Linked DNA regions of Drosophila melanogaster. The protein of the gene in region 3 interacts with the protein of the main gene of each other region in a pairwise test. Each region holds a gene or a part of one and is shown on either strand. Other genes may lie near its edges. The genes, in order: bowl, maca and CG7991.

The links.
Region 1: the proteins of CG7991 (region 3) and bowl interact in a two-hybrid assay, tested with the Drosophila melanogaster proteins (one large-scale study listed by BioGRID).
Region 2: the proteins of CG7991 (region 3) and maca interact in a two-hybrid assay, tested with the Drosophila melanogaster proteins (one large-scale study listed by BioGRID).

Annotation. Positions count from the first base shown.
Region 1 is NT_033779.5:3,769,042-3,774,860, forward strand, and holds the start of bowl (brother of odd with entrails limited), read left to right. Parts: upstream 1-2,658; 5' UTR 2,659-2,832; intron 2,833-2,878; exon of another isoform or gene 2,879-2,974; intron 2,975-2,984; exon of another isoform or gene 2,985-3,275; intron 3,276-3,419; 5' UTR 3,420-3,653; intron 3,654-5,819. UniProt on the Drosophila melanogaster protein: Putative transcription factor. Required for leg joint formation, acting downstream of Notch to pattern the leg tarsal segments. Functions in the terminal pathway during embryogenesis, acting downstream of tll in the posterior of the embryo.
Region 2 is NT_033777.3:15,491,352-15,497,089, forward strand, and holds maca (maca), read left to right. Parts: upstream 1-3,250; 5' UTR 3,251-3,450; coding exon 3,451-4,206; 3' UTR 4,207-4,269; downstream 4,270-5,738. Other genes in the region: obe (obelus), read left to right, coding at 1-1,108, 1,170-1,634.
Region 3 is NT_037436.4:1,672,344-1,678,162, reverse strand, and holds the start of CG7991 (uncharacterized protein), read right to left. Parts: upstream 3,455-5,819; 5' UTR 3,042-3,454; coding exon 2,996-3,041; intron 1-2,995. Other genes in the region: CG13930 (uncharacterized protein), read left to right, coding at 5,458-5,640, 5,703-5,819.

The DNA.
Region 1 (5,819 bases), on a different chromosome or scaffold from region 3:
TTTTTAGGAAACACATTCATTCACAAGCATACACACACACATTACAACGTTCATAGTAGGTCAAACAATAATATAATAGCGATTAATTCGGAATCCAGTAGTTACTTTGTCATATAAAGATATGATCTTTAAAATGCTGATTTCCTGTTTTTTTGGGTCAGTGTTCAAATACCGAGATTGAGTGAGGATGCAACAATTTTGAAGCTTCTTTTCGTTTTTATTAATACGGTAACGAATATATATATATAAATATATATTTTATATATTTTAAATAGAGATTTCCAATTTGGCGAGGCGTAAAAAATTAGATAATAAATCTATGCATTATGATGATTATATGATATATACATAAGAGTCAGCCATTTTATGTTGTTACTCATCGAGTGGAAAACGAGACAGCAAAAACCTAACACAGAAAAAGGAAAAAAGAAAACTAAATAAGAGCTTTAATTATTAAATAAAAAATATACCAAGAACAAATGACAAATGTGCCTCTTGCTGACAGCCCGGGGGCATTGAAATGCATCTAAACATCATTAATTTGGCTCAACGATCCGATTCCCATTGGAACCCGATTCAGATTCGGATATGGTCCCAGGCCCAGCCCAAAAGTATCAAACACACCAGCTACCTGCTGGGGCCAACGAAGCATTTCGAATGCGATCAATGAACCTGTTGCTTTTGGCCCTCTAGCTACAAACTACCAGCTGAACTCCGAGTTGGCCACATGTTTTACACAAATTTCAAGTAATTTATTTTAAAATCGTAAAGCGATGCAAAATATGCAAGGAGGGAAGCCACTTCAACCGACGGGCACTCAGAAAAATCACAACGATCTTATGGTTCGCATTAGCATATATATCTTATTTGTACATCTTTATTTTAAGCAAAAAGAGCAAGGTAAGGGTTAGATATTAGATATTATTATTAAACAATAGTCAATTTCAATTTTATGTATTGTGGAATCCAATTATAAGGGAGACCAATTATGGTAATTATTTATTTTATTTCTTATTTACTTATTGTTATTTATATATGCTGAAAATTATTTTCCGAGTGCAGCAAGAGCAACAGTTGTTGATGGGGGAAGTCGACGACGACTAGCATAACAATTCGCTCGCCCTATGAGGCAGCTACCGTTTTTCCGTCTTCTCTTTTCTACCACTTATTTCTGGTCTTCTGCCTGTTGCCGCTTTGTATCTCCATTTCCACTTACTGTTTTTGCAGTGGCAGCAGCCACAATTTAGTTCCACTGTGCAGCACCTTAATTACATGGCTACGGACTCTCTTTTGTTGGGTACTTTTCGGGTTTTTCTTTTCTGCATCTCGGAATCATTACGACCATGATCACCGTCGTGGCCGAAACGTAACTCCCTCTACTTTTGGGACCCTAGCTGATTTTTGGTCTTTTTGTTAACGTCTTTTCTTTTACCACTTGACCGCATTGATGCTGCATTGCGAGCAGAGGTTGCCAGATTGTTAGAATAGAAATTTTACAGTCTATTATAATAATATAAGACCTATTTACATAGCCTAGCTCGAATCAATCATTTACCTATGTTTTATTTTTTTCCAAGTTCCCGTGCTCGCCTTCTTTTATAAGGACTAATTACCATTAATAAAAGTCAGTCTGGCGATAAGATGGTTTCTAGACTTATATTGTTTTACGACCTATTTCCATAAATGAATTGTATAACTCGGCTGCCGATTAATCATCAGTGTATATTTAAATACATATGTATAAATATTTTTCCCTAAAGCTACCAACTAATTATTCCAAATAAATATTTACTTATCAGTAGAACATTGGAACTTGTCATAATATAGATATATAGTCGTGTGAGTAATGCACTTTATTTCACCCCAACTTTCGACTTGGCAACCCCTTCTTCGAAGAAACCTTATCACCTTGCCTCCCTAAAAATGCTTTCTGATTAGTCATTCCCCTAAATGAAACCGCAACAAAAGCCGAAGAACAAAATACACCCCCACTAAAAAGGCATAACAATAAACAGGGAACTACCAGAGTTACACCCTCCTCCTCCTTTTCGGGTGAAGCCACCATAACGATCCATGGGCAGCAGCAGCAACGGCAATCTGGCAACACCCGGGCCAATTGTACCCTACCCTCTCGACTGGGCCAAAAAAAAAAAAGCAGTCGGTGGTAGTCGGTAGTCGGTCGGTAAACAGGTAGCGCTCTAACTGACAATAACTCGTCGTACGAATGCACGTTCCACGCTCCGCCAGTGCCAGTCTCCATATAAGTCCGTCCACGGGCCCATCCGTCCATTTAGCAGCGTGCGACTGGCGGCCGGTTGGGTTTGGGTTGAGTTCGGTTTAATTCCTCTCCTCCACTGAAAGAAATGTCGTACTATATTCAAACTGAATATAAGTTACTAGTTAATTCAGAAAAATATGTAAATGCATCCATTATTTATCTAGTATATTTAAGCAGATAGATTTATACTGTTGTTATTTACAGAAAATTAGAGCCTTACTCTTCAGATATTTAAGAATTGTTAAAACTTTTTCCACAGTGCACTAAGCTGGTTTTAGTGCCACTGCTCGCTACTCGTCGCTTGTCTCTTTCTACGCATTTCTCAGCCCGCGATTCTCTCGATTCTCTCTTTTTCCATTCGGGCCCTGTTTCTTGGGTTCGTGGCTCAGTCTTCGAGAGTTGATCGTGGCCAACGCACCTGCGCGCGGATCGCTGGTAATAGCTGTTGGAAAAGTGAACTGCATTGTGAGTGCCTCTCGCTCTATATCTATCTGTATCTTTCGCCGCCGATGTATCTTATTGAGCGGGCCCAGAGCGCTAGTGTGTGTGTGTGTGTGAGTGAACTTGTTGCATCGCCAGTTGCCTCGAGAAAAGCGCTTTTCAACTGCAACTGACTCTGTGTGTGGGAAGAGTTTGGGACTACTTGAGGAGCGAATTGGTAGCTGCACTGGCTTCAGCTCCTATTTCAAACAAAATGTAGAAAAACACATTTCAGCTGCCGTGTATCTCTCGTTCTCGTTCGGTTTTCAGTTCGTTGAGGTTGAGGTTTCGGTTCGGGTTTTTCTTCGTTCGGTTTTCATATCTGTGAGATACAAATACATCGTGTGTTTGTGCGCGAGTTGTACGTGGATTTTGGAAGGAAAAAAACTACGTGGTTTGTGGTAGCTGACTGCCGTTGATGCTGCTGCTGCTCCCGTAACCGCCCCCCTGCCGCCCCCTCAGCCCCACCCCCTGGGGCGATCGTGCCGTGATTTGAATCTCAAAATTGTCCCTTAGTGTGCGTGTTTTTTTAAATACATTTACTTGAGAATGATTCGGTGAAATACTTGTTAAAATTAAAATCAAACCTGAAAATATAACAAAAAATTTCCGACAAATATTTTGAAAATTTTAATAAAATTATTTACTTTTAAATTCACAGAATCGTATTAACAGAAGTCTTCAAACAAATACAACAAGAAAAAACAACATACAATTCAAGTGCCACTTAAATGATATAAATTACTACTTTAAAAACCAAAAACAATGCCAAGCATTTCAAAGCTTACAAACTGACAAAAAACCAGCAAAATCATATTGAAACAACTACTTGGATACTTTAGGACGCAAAGATAAAGCCCAAAGAGCCTGGGGCTTTCTTCTGTTTAACCCACAGGTAAGATTCCGCCGAGAACAGGCCCTGCCTTCCCAGATGAACACAAAAATTCCACACCACTTATTTTTACTTGTTTTATTTTTTGTTGTTTTTTTTTTTGTTTTCTGTTTGTGGCGTAGGGCTAGCTAATTACGTTTATTATTTTTTTATTTTGGTATTTTTTGCGTTGGCCAAAAAGGCAGCGAGTACAAAAATATAACGAGTACGCAGACAGAGAAGGAGAGAGAGAGAAAGACCCAAGATATATCTCAAAACCTGCTCCACAAATAGAATGAGACGGGGCGAAAAAACAGGAAAGAGAGCGCAACAACGTTGGCGGTTGGCGGACTGTCGACCGACAAGCGGCTTCCACTACAACTGCATGTGCCACTGTCATTGCCACTGAACTCAGTGTGGTGCCGCACAGTCCACGGTGGAGTACGTCCCCCATCCCCCCGCAAACTTCCCCACCATCCTGAACCACCCGCTTGCCCCATTGTTGTTGCTGTGGCGCTCAGTTCGAGTTGGTCGGTTCGAGCCGGACTCGAAAAACCTTCGCTTGGAATTCTGGGGGTCTCTTATGGGTGCTCTTGGTAAGGGTACTTCGTTTGAAAATGGTGTACACAATTTGTAAAATATTATTTAAAAATATTAATCGGTGTTAATAACGTTACATTTCTGAAAAACTTTAATTTTACAGAATTTCAAAGCATCGCGTTAGGTTTTAAAAATATATTTTACGAAATTTAGGCAAACTTAGTTTAATAAGCTGATAGTTTATAAGCTTCTTATTTATTCCAGTGTTTTTTTTTCAACAAGTCTACTCTAGTTTGATCTATAGTATTATTTACTTATTTTGCCTAGGGTATTAAGTGCATCGGCTTTATAGATCGTGATTTTTCACATGTTTCTTTCATTTCTGTTTCTTTTCTTTGTAAACCAGTTCACTTGTAGCCAGTGCCAGTGGCCAGTGGTCGCTCTCGCCGTCTTTTTCGCTCCTTCTCGGCTTGGAATCCGGTTTTTTTGGTTTTCTGTTTTCGGTTTTCGGTCGTGGTCGCTGTCTTAACTTGGCTCGATTCAGATTCGGAGCTCGGCTGGGGCTTTAATTGTCCAGAACGTGTGGCCAAAGAGGAAACGCAATTGCCGCAAGCTTCTGTTGGGTTCAGATACCGATTCGGATTCGGATTCAGCCTCAACCTCAGACCATCATCATCATCGTCATCTACATCTCTTGATTTCTTTTAAATGCTTTACTTTTTCCTTCATTTTTAAGCTTTTTTTTTGTAGAACGCCTCCCGCGCTCTCACAGTCTGAGTTATTATTATTTTTTTTTTGTATTTTTTGGTTGCGGTTCTATAAAGTTATTGGCTTTTGTTTCGCCTCAGTGGAGATCTATTTTGGATATTCATTGTCTTGCTTTATGGGCCATTTGGTTTTGTGTCCAAAAAGAGTTTTAGCATAAGAAAGGGAGTACCATAAAAGTTTATTACGCTTTACCTCTTTGGGTGGGTTTTCCTCTCCATCTTGGGCCACCAACTATCATTTTTCGGTTGCACCAGCAGCAGGGGAAAATGTTGCTGGTAATTGCCTTGTGGCAGGAAAATTGAAATCGAAATTAATTAAAATCGTGACAAAATACTTGATGAATTTAGATTTACCATAAAACCGCAGAACAATGGCTCGTTAGGGATCGCCATATTCGGGTTTTAAATTGAAATGGCTATATGGACACGCCTCGTTTTGGCACGTGTGTATAATTCACCTGATAGACCAGTTCATTTATTGTTGTTCTGGAACGGGAACTCATCAATTTTGATGGGGAAATTAGATGTTGTCTAGGGAATATGAATTTTTAATGCTATCAATGAAATCAGACAGCGGAAAGGTGATTATCAGTTTACATGTTTAGTTTTGGGCTGGGTTCCAAAAGTTGTCGAAGAAAAAAATATATAAATAATTTGTACCAAGATTTGTGTGCAATTAGCATAATCCAATTGCATTTGAATTAATAAATCATAGTCTTAGTGCTTCTACACTTATTAGCATAAACTCTTCCAATAAATAAGAATTGACCCATTGAAATTATAACACAATAGATTGCCTGAAAAAGTAGCAATCCGACCAACAAAAGATCTTAAGAGTTCTATTCAAGGGTGAAATTTTTGAATGGATTTAGTTCGAATGAAA
Region 2 (5,738 bases), on a different chromosome or scaffold from region 3:
GGCGTGGGGCGTTAATTTGCCAGCTCATCTGGTGGTGATCAAAGGTACCGAATACTTTGACGGGAAGGTGAAGAAGTACGTGGACATGCCCATTACCGACGTGCTTCAAATGATGGGACGAGCCGGACGGCCGCAGTTCGACAATGAAGGTGTGGCCGTCGTTCTGGTGCACGACGAAAAGAAGAATTTCTACAAAAAGTTTCTGTACGATCCATTCCCGGTAGAGTCCAGTCTGCTGGGAGTGCTACCGGAGCACATAAACGCTGAAATCGTTGCTGGAACTGTTCAGTCAAAGCAGGCCGCTCTGGATTATCTTACGTGGACGTACTTCTTCAGGAGATTGCTCCGAAACCCGTCGTATTACCAACTGCAGGACATAGAACCGGAGAATGTAAATAACTTTATGTCCAATCTGGTTGAGCGCGTGGTCTATGAGCTTTCTGCCGCTGCCTGTCTGGTGGAGCGCGATGGATGTCTGATACCAACATTCTTGGGGCGAATCAGTTCCTATTACTACCTGTCGTACCGCACAATGAAGCATTTCCTGGAGGATTTGCAGCCTGGCATGAACACCAAGAAAGTTCTCCTCGCCATAGCCGATTCCTATGAATTTGATCAGCTGCCTGTTCGGCACAACGAGGATAAGCACAATGAGGAAATGGCTGAAGTAAGCCGCTTTAGACCGCCCTCATCGTCTTGGGATTCTTCGTACACCAAGACTTTCCTGCTACTCCAGGCCCACTTTGCACGGCAGTCCCTTCCGAATTCGGATTACCTAACAGACACAAAGTCGGCTCTGGACAACGCCACTCGAGTGATGCAAGCCATGGTGGACTACACAGCGGAGCGGGGATGGCTCTCGACGACTCTGGTTGTGCAGCAACTGATGCAGAGCGTCATTCAGGCCCGATGGTTCGACGGTAGTGAGTTCCTAACGTTGCCAGGAGTGAACGAGGACAATCTCGATGCCTTTTTGAACATACCACACGATGACTATGACTACTTAACACTACCCGTGCTGAAGGAGCTGTGCAAACAAGAGTACGAAGTACTGGCGAAGCCACTGCGAGATGCCTTCGAGGAGCACGAGATCGAAAAGATGTATAAGGTACGATTCGAATTAACCAAATTGCTGAACGATATTCAAATGGTACTTTAAACATTTCCAGGTAATCCAAGACTTGCCCGAGATAGCAATTCAAATATTCGTAGAGGGTCGGCATATGGAGAATGAGTATGCCAAGCGACCGCTCTCACTTTCTGATGACACGAGGGGCGAATGGATGTCCCTGCATGCCAATGAGGACTACGTTCTCATAGTAAACTTGCAGCGGCTTAATGTCAGTGGACAGCGAAGAGGTGGTGGACAAAGCTACACGGTGCACTGCCCCAAGTATCCAAAGCCCAAGAATGAAGCGTGGTTCCTGACCCTGGGCTCCCAGGCCAACGACGAGCTCCTCGCCATGAAGCGTGTATCCATTCGCGGACAGCGCTGCACCAACCGCATTTCGTTCCAGGCAACTCCGCGACTTGGACGTCTACAGCTTACGCTTTATTTAATGTCCGACTGCCTTATGGGCTTTGACCAGCAGTACGACCTGCAATTCGAGATCATTGATGCAAAAGAAGTCTAAGGGCCCTACTAGAGATTAAATCTAAAGTGTACCGTAGCATTCTGTAGAGTTGAGGCTTAACTTTTAGTTAATGGAGTTCATATCGCCTATGAACGTTTTCCACAATCACTGTTATCACCTAGAGTTCGTAGTAAAACTGAACTTGCGTATTTATTGTGTGATCCTCCAAGACATGTATAACATTTTTATCATTAGTAACTTGCTTCGAGACGAAGCTCCTTTGTTAGCCAACCATGTAGCACCTACATGCATGAATCACTTTCTATGAATTTATGAAGTAACTATTTTTATTGTGTAAAGTTAATAAAATTTGTATTGAAAGCGCAGCTATGTTTTTCAATTTAATTTTTTTATGTGATCAATATAAATACCACTTAGCCATCCATAACTATCGACATGTTAACTACATTTATTCTACGTGGCACAGTGGCGGCACCTAACGTTCACTTGTATAATGAAGAAAATAGTTCATGGTGCGTGTCAAAAAGGAAACGTACCAAGAGACAGCATTAAATAAAACTTTTATTAGTATTAATTGATTTATATAATTCTAAGTTGGGTGATGACAAAGTAAGCTAAGAAAGTTAAGAATGATAAAATAAAAAAATAAAACAGGTTAAACAGCTTTAAGCCTATATGCATAGTAATAATTAGTTGTTAAGACCGAAATAGGCTTTTTAAATAGTCCCAATATTCCAGTCAGAAACGTTTTTCGCTGTGAAAATATGTAAACGACCCACCTCATCCGAATGTATTTCTACGTGCGCCGTCTTTTAATGGCGGGTTTTATCCGAGTCCTGACCATTTCTGGACGCTTCTGCACTCCTGCCCTTCTGCCCCACACATGGCGCTGAGAAATGAAAGCATATTCAAGTGATTAATGCAGATGGCCACCACATCGGGCAAATGCGGATCCGCTGGTCCCCGGGGAGTCGCCGACTAGGATAAGGAGCTGGCCTCCTCCCACAGCAGTCGAGTAATTAAACTTGATTAATTGTCTAGTCAGCATGAAGGTAAAAATCGGCGTAGCCAAGATAAACGAAACGGAAATGGAAATTAATTAATATGAGGCTAAGTAAAACAAAAAGAAATAATGAACAAGTTTACTTTGGCAATAAACAAAGGAACATTCAATGATCCAATCGATGGGCCTCGAGTGCCATGTCGGTTCCCCAAATCGCACAATACTCGTATCCAATTTAATTTTCACCTGCACACTTTTTACATTCCTCTGTGCAGTGCTCCACCTTCGAATCGCAATGTCGAAATTCCATAATCAGCAAACAAATAAATAAACAGCTGGAAAACTTTTCAAAAACTTTTGCACCTTGTGCACATAAAGGGTTTCATTTTGTCTTGGCACGCAAACTTCTCAGCCAAATCAGCGATTTCGCAAGGCGGAATTTATTTAATTTGCATACGTATTTATGTGTTAAATAGTTCTTTAATGCAGATGAAGTTTTATTGTATTTATTCAAATAGAATTTAAGTTAAGTTCAATTCAAGGCAGCCAACTCTTGACACCACGTAAGTTGACAAAAGTATAAATGTATTAGTGTTGGTAAATAACCAAGTAATTGTTGACCAAAGCTATCCTGTTTGTCATGGAAGTCATTGTCAAACACATTCTGAAAAAAAACTTTTAACATTTGGAAGGGCAGCTTTGCAGTATTTTTAGAATTTTCAGTCAATTTGGGATATTATAATCATTCTAAAATTTTCTACGCCAAGTGTTTCATTTGGATCCCATTCCGAAGAAAGCATAAGATCTCTGCGGTCATCTTTCACCTTTGCTTCTATCTATAGCGCAGAGAAAATGACCAAGAAGGAGTCATCCGTCCCGACGCTATGTTGGGGATACGCCGGGATACGCGGCATGTTCCAAACTGGAAGACCAGTGGATCCGCCCCCTCCTCTCCCTAATTTGCGGATGAAGACGAACCTGATCCTCAACTACCTTCCGCAGGACATGACGGAGTCTGAGCTGCACCGTCTCTTCTCCAAGTTCGGTGAGATCCGCAAGGCCAAGATCATCCGCCACCGCAGGACTGGCATAAGCTGTTGCTACGGATTCGTCGACTACGTGTCGGAACGCCAGGCGGCTGCTGCCGTGAATGGCATGGATGGCTACGAGACTCGCGGCAAGCGACTGAAAGTGGCCTTCGCCCGACCTTCGGAATATGAAAGCACCAGCTCCAGCCTGTACGTGGGGAACCTGCCCACGTACATGGATGAGAAGAAGGTACGAGAACTCTTCGCCACCTACGGCAACATCGTGGATGTGAACTTGCTGCGCCACAAGTTCAACAATAGGTCCCGTGGCGTGGCCTTCTTGCAATTTGAGTTGGTCCGCGACGCCGAGGTGGCCAAGTACGGCATGGATCGGTACATGATCGAAGGCGCCTCCCGGCCCCTGACGGTCAAGTTCGTGGAGCGCGAGAAAAAAGGCTCGAGTTCTACCTCCAGTGGCTCCCAGTATAAGGACAAGCGTAAATCTTCCCCACCACCCTACAAGCGTCGCGAGAGGACGAACGATCATCATGTGTCTAAGCGTTCTCGAGATTCGGACTAATCATTATGCGTATTTTTGATAGAACTTGCTGATTAATTTGATTAATATATATATAGAACCTGTAAGGAACACCTTTTTTTAAACCTCAGCTGAAGAACAAATTGTGATTTTGCACTTTTGTCGTATACTCAATTTCCTTTAGGTAGTCCGGTCCAATTAATTTTGGTCTTAACGCATTCGTTCGGTTATGCATTTGGCTGCCCTCTGATTTTGGCCTTACATAAATAATTCATTAAATTGCCGCAGGAGCTGGGCTTATCGTTCGCAAACAAGCCACTCCTACGGACATGAGATCCTCGGCTCCTAAAAAGCATTAACAGCTTTATCAGTCGCCTGGTAACCTCGATTTAGCCAGGGGCCACCAGTTGGCCAAAAAAGGTGCGGAGCGTCCGATTCGGTTTCGGTTTCGGGTTTTGATTTCGATTGCGGGATGCATGCAAAGGATTGGCGGTTCAAATAAATAATGAAAACAAAGGGCGCATAAATATTTGAAGATCGCAAACCGAATGAACCGAAACGACTTACGAAAGTAGGTGGGAAACAAGTGAATTGAAAATTATTTCCAATTCGTTTGCTTTTCTCATTATAATTGAGGCGCAAAGTTGCCCCTGCATCTCGGAATCGGTATCTCCTCCTCCGGTTACCCAGCTGGTATCCCCTTCGACTGCTGCTCTTGTTTCAGTCTCTGGTTCCAGTTCAGATTTAACTTACAGATTTTGCTTTACAAGGACCCTTCATGCACGACTGTGGTATGCACTTTTGACGGTCACAGTTTAAATGAAGTTACATAAACTCTGGGTTGGATTCGGCAATAAAATATGGAGGATTTTGCCAATAACTACATTTTTATATAGGGTTGTATGGGTTGTGTTGCTCTTTTGAATTAATGTGCCTCCTGGACTTCCTATTTTGCATAAAAGCACGCTTAATACATAAAATTTTAAAGAAAATCAGTTGTTTAAAGCTTAGAGAAAATCGTTCGCTTTGTAAAAACTAGAATTTTATGAAAAATGTGTGTATATACCCAAACAACAAAGCATAATGAAACCTAAAAATGAGAACAATTGAGTTCCAGTCTCATCTTGTGTTGGAAATGCAAATCAAATTTTCACATCCCTTTTGTTTACAGTTTTCATTTCATTTTTCTTGGAACAGTTGAGTTCTTCCCTAGTTGCGTTAGGAAAAAAAAGGAGGAGACCTCCAAGAAAAAGGGCTGCAGCCTCTTGATAAGCAGATTATACGCTTTTCATCATTTTCATTCCTTTTTTTTACTTGGCGTTCTGGCTGCGAGTGTTTCGGGGATTTCCTTTTTCCATCTTGCCTCGTGTTGTATTGTCTTATTGACATTTGTGGCATATTGTTTTCAACAGAAGTTTTTATAAAATGTTTTATGTTTAAATTATTTCCAATCCTAAGAAAAGCCTTCAATTCGCAGACTTTCGGTGCAATTTTTGCCAGTCTTAAAGTATTTTACTCCACAATTTTCCCGCAGTGATTCCGACTCATTTGTCTTTCTTTGTCCGCGAGCATTA
Region 3 (5,819 bases):
TTAACTTTTCGACATGTTTCACATGTGATGAAGATTAAGTAGAAAATAATTACAAGCTGCGTCCGAAGCGAAGCTAAAGCCAAAGTTGAGCTGAGCTGAGCTGGGCTGAGCCCAAAAGCTGTGTGTGCGATCGCGATCATATCGGATACACTGGGATTGGGATTGGTACTGGGATATCGGGATAGCTTTGTGATCGCTGCGCGGCCGGCGGTAATTACATAAACAGCGATGTCAGTGCGGTGACAGGACGGCGTCATCATCGCAGCCCAGGGAGCCCAGTGAATCTGGAGCTCGGCAACTGCGACTCGCAGTCGATCATCAATCGTGCGAACTTTCCAGGGGACCGCCCCCTCGGAACGCGGATATCACTGCGGTGGGGGCATCGCCGCCACGACCTGTTCCCAGATCCTCGCAGCCAGTGCTCGATGCTCGATGGCCAGAGAAAGAAACCAAACGGCCAGCCGAAAATAAAAGGGCCAAATCAGCGTGTAAGATGCCGGGGCCATAAATTTTAAAGTAATTTTCTCCTGGCCCCGAGTAATTTATGGGAAAATATTAAGCTGCCCCAAATACTCCACATCCAGATCCAAATCCAGATCCCAACTAGCGCAGACAACCTAAATTCGACCCCAAAAAACTAGCCAAATAGAGTAATTAAATCGGTGGCTGACCAGCTTCAATCCACTAGTCCTTGCTGGTCGAGGATCATTCCAGCTCATTCCCGATTCCCAGCTGAACCGGCTGAGTTATGGGCACCCCATCCTCCTGCACTTTGGGTCACGATTATCTGCATACGCAGCCGGCAATAATAATCTCAAAATTGGCGCACTTAAGCGAGGATCCTCGGCAGGCGTAATTTGAAAGTTATTTTGTTGCCGGTGCGGTGAAATTATTGAGCAATATGCTGATCTGTAAAATCATAAATAAAAATATTTGTACTTGACCGCAGCGGAGCCAGGGTTTTGCCCTGGAATGAGGATGGGAATGGGATTGGGAATGGGAATGGGCATCCACCTTCGCTCCATCTTCATCTCATCTCCTTCCACCCGGACGACTTTTATGTTATGTTATGAGGTGAGATCTTGGATCCCGGACGCGGGCTCCGGATGGCGAGTCTGCGCCCGCGGCTTAACGATTGATAAAGTCTTTTTATTTACAAGCTGATAATGATGGTGTAGGTGCAGCTTTTGGCATTGCGACGGTTTTCATGTAATTTATGAGCAATTTGCAGACAATTTTCGAGGTCCGAGCTCGTGGAATGCGCGGAAAGTGTAGGACTGACCCAAAGATGTGGGCTAAGTGGGTCTCAAAGGGGGACGCAGTCCGGTCAAGTGAAAGATCTACAAACGGAATTTATGGGAATTAAGCCACTTGCAAATGGAGTGCCCCAAATAGAGCTCGACTAAACTCGGTGAGAAACTCTCAATTGGAACTTATGTTTCTACACTTCTTACACAGTATATCTGTGGGTTTTGATTTATGGTAATTTAAATTGTTCCACCTTGCTCATCGTCTTAGGTTTCAGATAATTCTCCAGACACTGTTTACCATTCCAATCCCATCCAGCACGCTTCCACCGAAAGCCGAAAACTATTTTGTAATATTGATAACCATCTCGGCGGTGGGGAATGGAGCTCGGTCAGGCCATTAAAATGTCACAACAAAACGCCGAACTCATTTTTCGATGCGGCACTGGGCCACAAGCGACCATTAAACCTGCAACTTGATGGGCAGCTTCTATAAAAACAGAAGACTCCGGGCACGAACTAAGCGAACCAAATAGCCAGAAGTGTCAACTGCGGTATGGTAGAGCCAAGAACTCTGGGTAAGCCGATTATGGGCCACGACTTTCGGGAACGGAACGCACATAAAATAAATGTCGCTGGCAGAGATGTCCGATCTCCGGAATCGTGTTAGGCGTGCTCCGCGGCTCAGGAGGCGGGGCTACCCACTACTGGGACTACTGCTTTCATGTGGCGGTGGTGTGGATGTCACCTACTCCTACTCCTGCTCCTCCTCGTTCTGCCTGCGTTGTTATTGCTTGTGTCGCTGCTGATGATTGTCATTAACATCACATTACCACAAGTCAAAGTCATGTTTTTGATCCCAAATAAACCCCGAGAGCTCAGAACTGAGATACAGCGAATGAGACACATAGTCGGCACTTGGTTGGAAAGTTATGGAGCAGATGGGATGGGATGGGAGAAGACGAAGAGTAACCACAGGAATGTGGGGAAAAGGGACAGTTTTCAATGCGATGCTCGATAGCAGTTGGCCACCTTGTTGGCCATCGGGACAAATCTGTTATGACACCTGACTGCGGGCCATGGGTTTTCAAAGGAAGGAGAGGGATTCAAGTGGGGGATTAGGGTACAATGTGTTGACCACACTATAATCATATTGGTTAGTAAACCCATTCTTCCCAAGCCCCTTAAGACCATCAAATCTTTATCCGACTGATCGTGAATGTGTCAAATCTTTCCACTTCCATCCCAAGTGTTTACGCTTGAAACCAAACCTAGTGAGATATTATCTTCTACACGGCGATCTGCATAATTATGCTAAACACATTAAATCCATTCATAAATCTCTGGGCAATCGTCATCCACAAAGGGAACACCTCGGCGAGAATTTCGATGGCCAGATATGAGCTATTATTCATGTCCCGCGTGGCTCGCGCTCCCATTTGTATTTGTCCAAGTCTTTTGTGGGTGATGAAGCCCAGCGGGGTGAATTTACGATCTTGGCCAGGGAAGCACTGAAATAAAATCAATAAACCAGTCGCTGGGCACAGCCAGAAATAATGCTTAAGATGCAAATTATGCAGATGAGTCGAGGCCAAAATATTCGAGCTTGTCACTGGACCGAAAATCGAAATTCACCTGCCCGGCGAAATCATATTTCTTGTTGCCCAATCGTTGGAGGCGTGGTCCCGTCCCCCGTCCCCCATTACCACCATTCCCACAAACTTGGCCATATAGAAACGGGGACTTACTCGAAGAGCTGCTCGATCGCTGAAGACGCCTCTTCCAAAACAACATTGTGTTCCTCCTCTTTTGGCGCTGATAAGATCGTCTGCTGATTGGTTTCGTTATTTCGTTATGTGATCACTGGCTATGCGGGTGTGGGTCTATGGCGAAATGATCCCTCTCGCGGAGCAACACAGCTGATTAGCATAAACTTCGAATCACTCAGGAACCGAGCTCTCCCGAATTGTATCTTTCAGATACAGCCACGGCTGAATGGCAACTGCACTTGCCCAACGCGCACAACAAATTGAGACATTAGCAGCCGGCCAGCGAGGAAAGTTATGACCCGAGCTATGTGGAGTGGTTTCAATTCGTTTTTTCCCTCAGGTGTCTCAGGTGTCAACTGGAGGCGAGGTGTGCTCAATTAGCCGCCCGATTTCAGCACTTCCGTTAAGCCGAGCAACTCGGACTTCTGGCCCGCTCGACGGTTAATTAACGAATAAAAAGTCGCTCCGCTGCCTCGAAAAAAAACCTCCGAGCTCGACTTGAGCTCGCTCTGCCGCCAGCTCTTCTCGTCTGGCGCGCTGGCTCGCTGGCTCGCTGGTCTTCCGCGCTCCCTGCCACAATGGAAACGAACTGAAAATGTGTTACACCGAAACGCCGGGCGGCGCAGTCGACGCTCCGAAAGGGGCAGTCGTCGCACATTGGGGCCAGTGGGGACATAAAACAGGTGTAAGAAGCCCAGACGATCTGAATGCGAGCGACATATGGCTAATAGCCAGCCCATGGGCTGGATCGAGATGGAGATGGCGCGTTTTATGGGTTTCCAGGGTGCGGACACAATTAGATGTTCGTAAAAAGTGGCGTTTTATTTCACTTTTCAAAACAGGGTCCACTCCGCAGACTCGTTTCTTGCGGGCTGGCGACAAAATTATTAATTATCTCACAAACACTGGACAAACATGGCTAACAACTGGCTGGAGTTAAAAGGTAGTTACATCAGTGGTATCAGCTTGCTTACAAGCTGGGTTAGTCCATTAAAAAGCTATCACAGAACTGAGTCTTAAACTTAAAGTGTAATTTTAAAATATTATTAATATTTTTCAACACCTCAAAGATGTAATTCAGTGTGGCGCTGACTGCGCAGTCGCCGCCGGCGTCGCAGTTGGCGTCGCGTTGGTGGCGGTTCACTGAATTTCGCTGACTGTAGGTGGTTGTTGCTGCCCCCAAAATGTGTAACAGCAACAACAAGAGTCTGGCCAAATCGGCCAACAACAACGATCGTTGGCTCGTGCAGAGTTCAAAATGCACGCAACCTGCAAGACAGGCGACTATTGTTTATAGCCCGCTTGGATTTGTTTTTTTTTTTTTGCTCTTAACTCTTTCTTTTCGCTGGCTGCCTGCACATTTATTACTTAACGCTTTGATGCGTTGACGGTTTGATGGTTTGTTCTTCTTGGCCATCAGTTGCCCGCTTGCCGTGTGCCCCTCCGTTTGACATAGTGCACTTGGCCATATTCGCTCGGTTTGGGCCCCCTCATCATCATCGTCATCGTCGTCGTCGTCGTCGTCGTCCTCATAATCAGCCCTCTTTTTTGCTATATGTTCATCAAGCGAATCAGCGTAGCGAAGCATAAAGCCAAATTAACATAAACAACTTCTTTTCGACTTCCATATCTTCTATACACGGAAAATCGCTTTGATTATTACAAGCTATCTTCAAATTAAGATTGTCATATTTATAGTTTGGGATTCATGTTGAAATAATTTCTCTGTAGATACATTTCTTTGCTGTGAGCACTTAACCTAATCATATTTCATTCTTAACCCGATCTTATTTTCGTTCAGTGTGCTGCACGGCTTGCTGCTCTCAATCGCCCACATGGCCAAGTGCTCCTCCTCATCCCATCTTTTGCCCATTTCCTATGCGGCTATGTGGCGGAATTAAAGACCTTTTTACCATATACCATCTAACTATTTTCCGTCTGCTATTCTTCTACTGTCTAATTGGAATATGAATACGAATTTCATTTGTTGGTAGTTTGTAGTTTGTATTTTGTAGTTTATAGTTTGTTTTGCTTTTCTCCGGTTGGGGGATTTTTCTTGTGACAGGTCAGAAAGCCGCGCAAATTATTGGAATCACTAAAGGTAATGATCCAAATTGATGTTAGACTATGGTGGCTTCATCTTCATTGCACAACTGGAACTACATTCATATTTAAATATACGTTTTTGCTTACCAACCCACTTATTATGCACTTTTGTTGCGCGATTTAAATGTGAGTTATAAATATTTATGGACGCAATGAGTGCAGTCATGTGTGAGCCTGCTAATGGAATTCCGTGTTGCAATCGGAGTGCAACTACAGCACTTGGTAGTTATGGCACCCATATATTGTATCCACCATTGTTGCGTTGCCATGTCTGCACACGCAGTAAACAAGTTGGGAAATCGGCGGCACGCGCTCATTCAAATTAATTGAGAAGGATGTCGCGACCTTTGAGGAAGGATTACCGCACCGCGGACTTCGAGCAACTGAGCAGGATGATTAGGGACCATCCGCTGATGAAGGAGCCCGGAGCGGAGCAGCAGCAACTCCATAAGCTCCGTACGCCGGAGTACCGAACGAAGTGCGTGATGAGAGCTTCCTTGGATGACATTGCCTTGGGGGTGAGTGCCTATCATCCTTAATGTCCAAAGAAATCAAGCCATACAGTATGTTTATTCGCCAGATCAATCTTTACAAGCTGCAGCTGGACACGCCCATGTCGCCCACTCTGGAGGAACCGAATTATCTGAAGGAGCCTGCTTCCTCCGCCCGCTCCGCCCACTCCGCCCGTCCTCCAGCC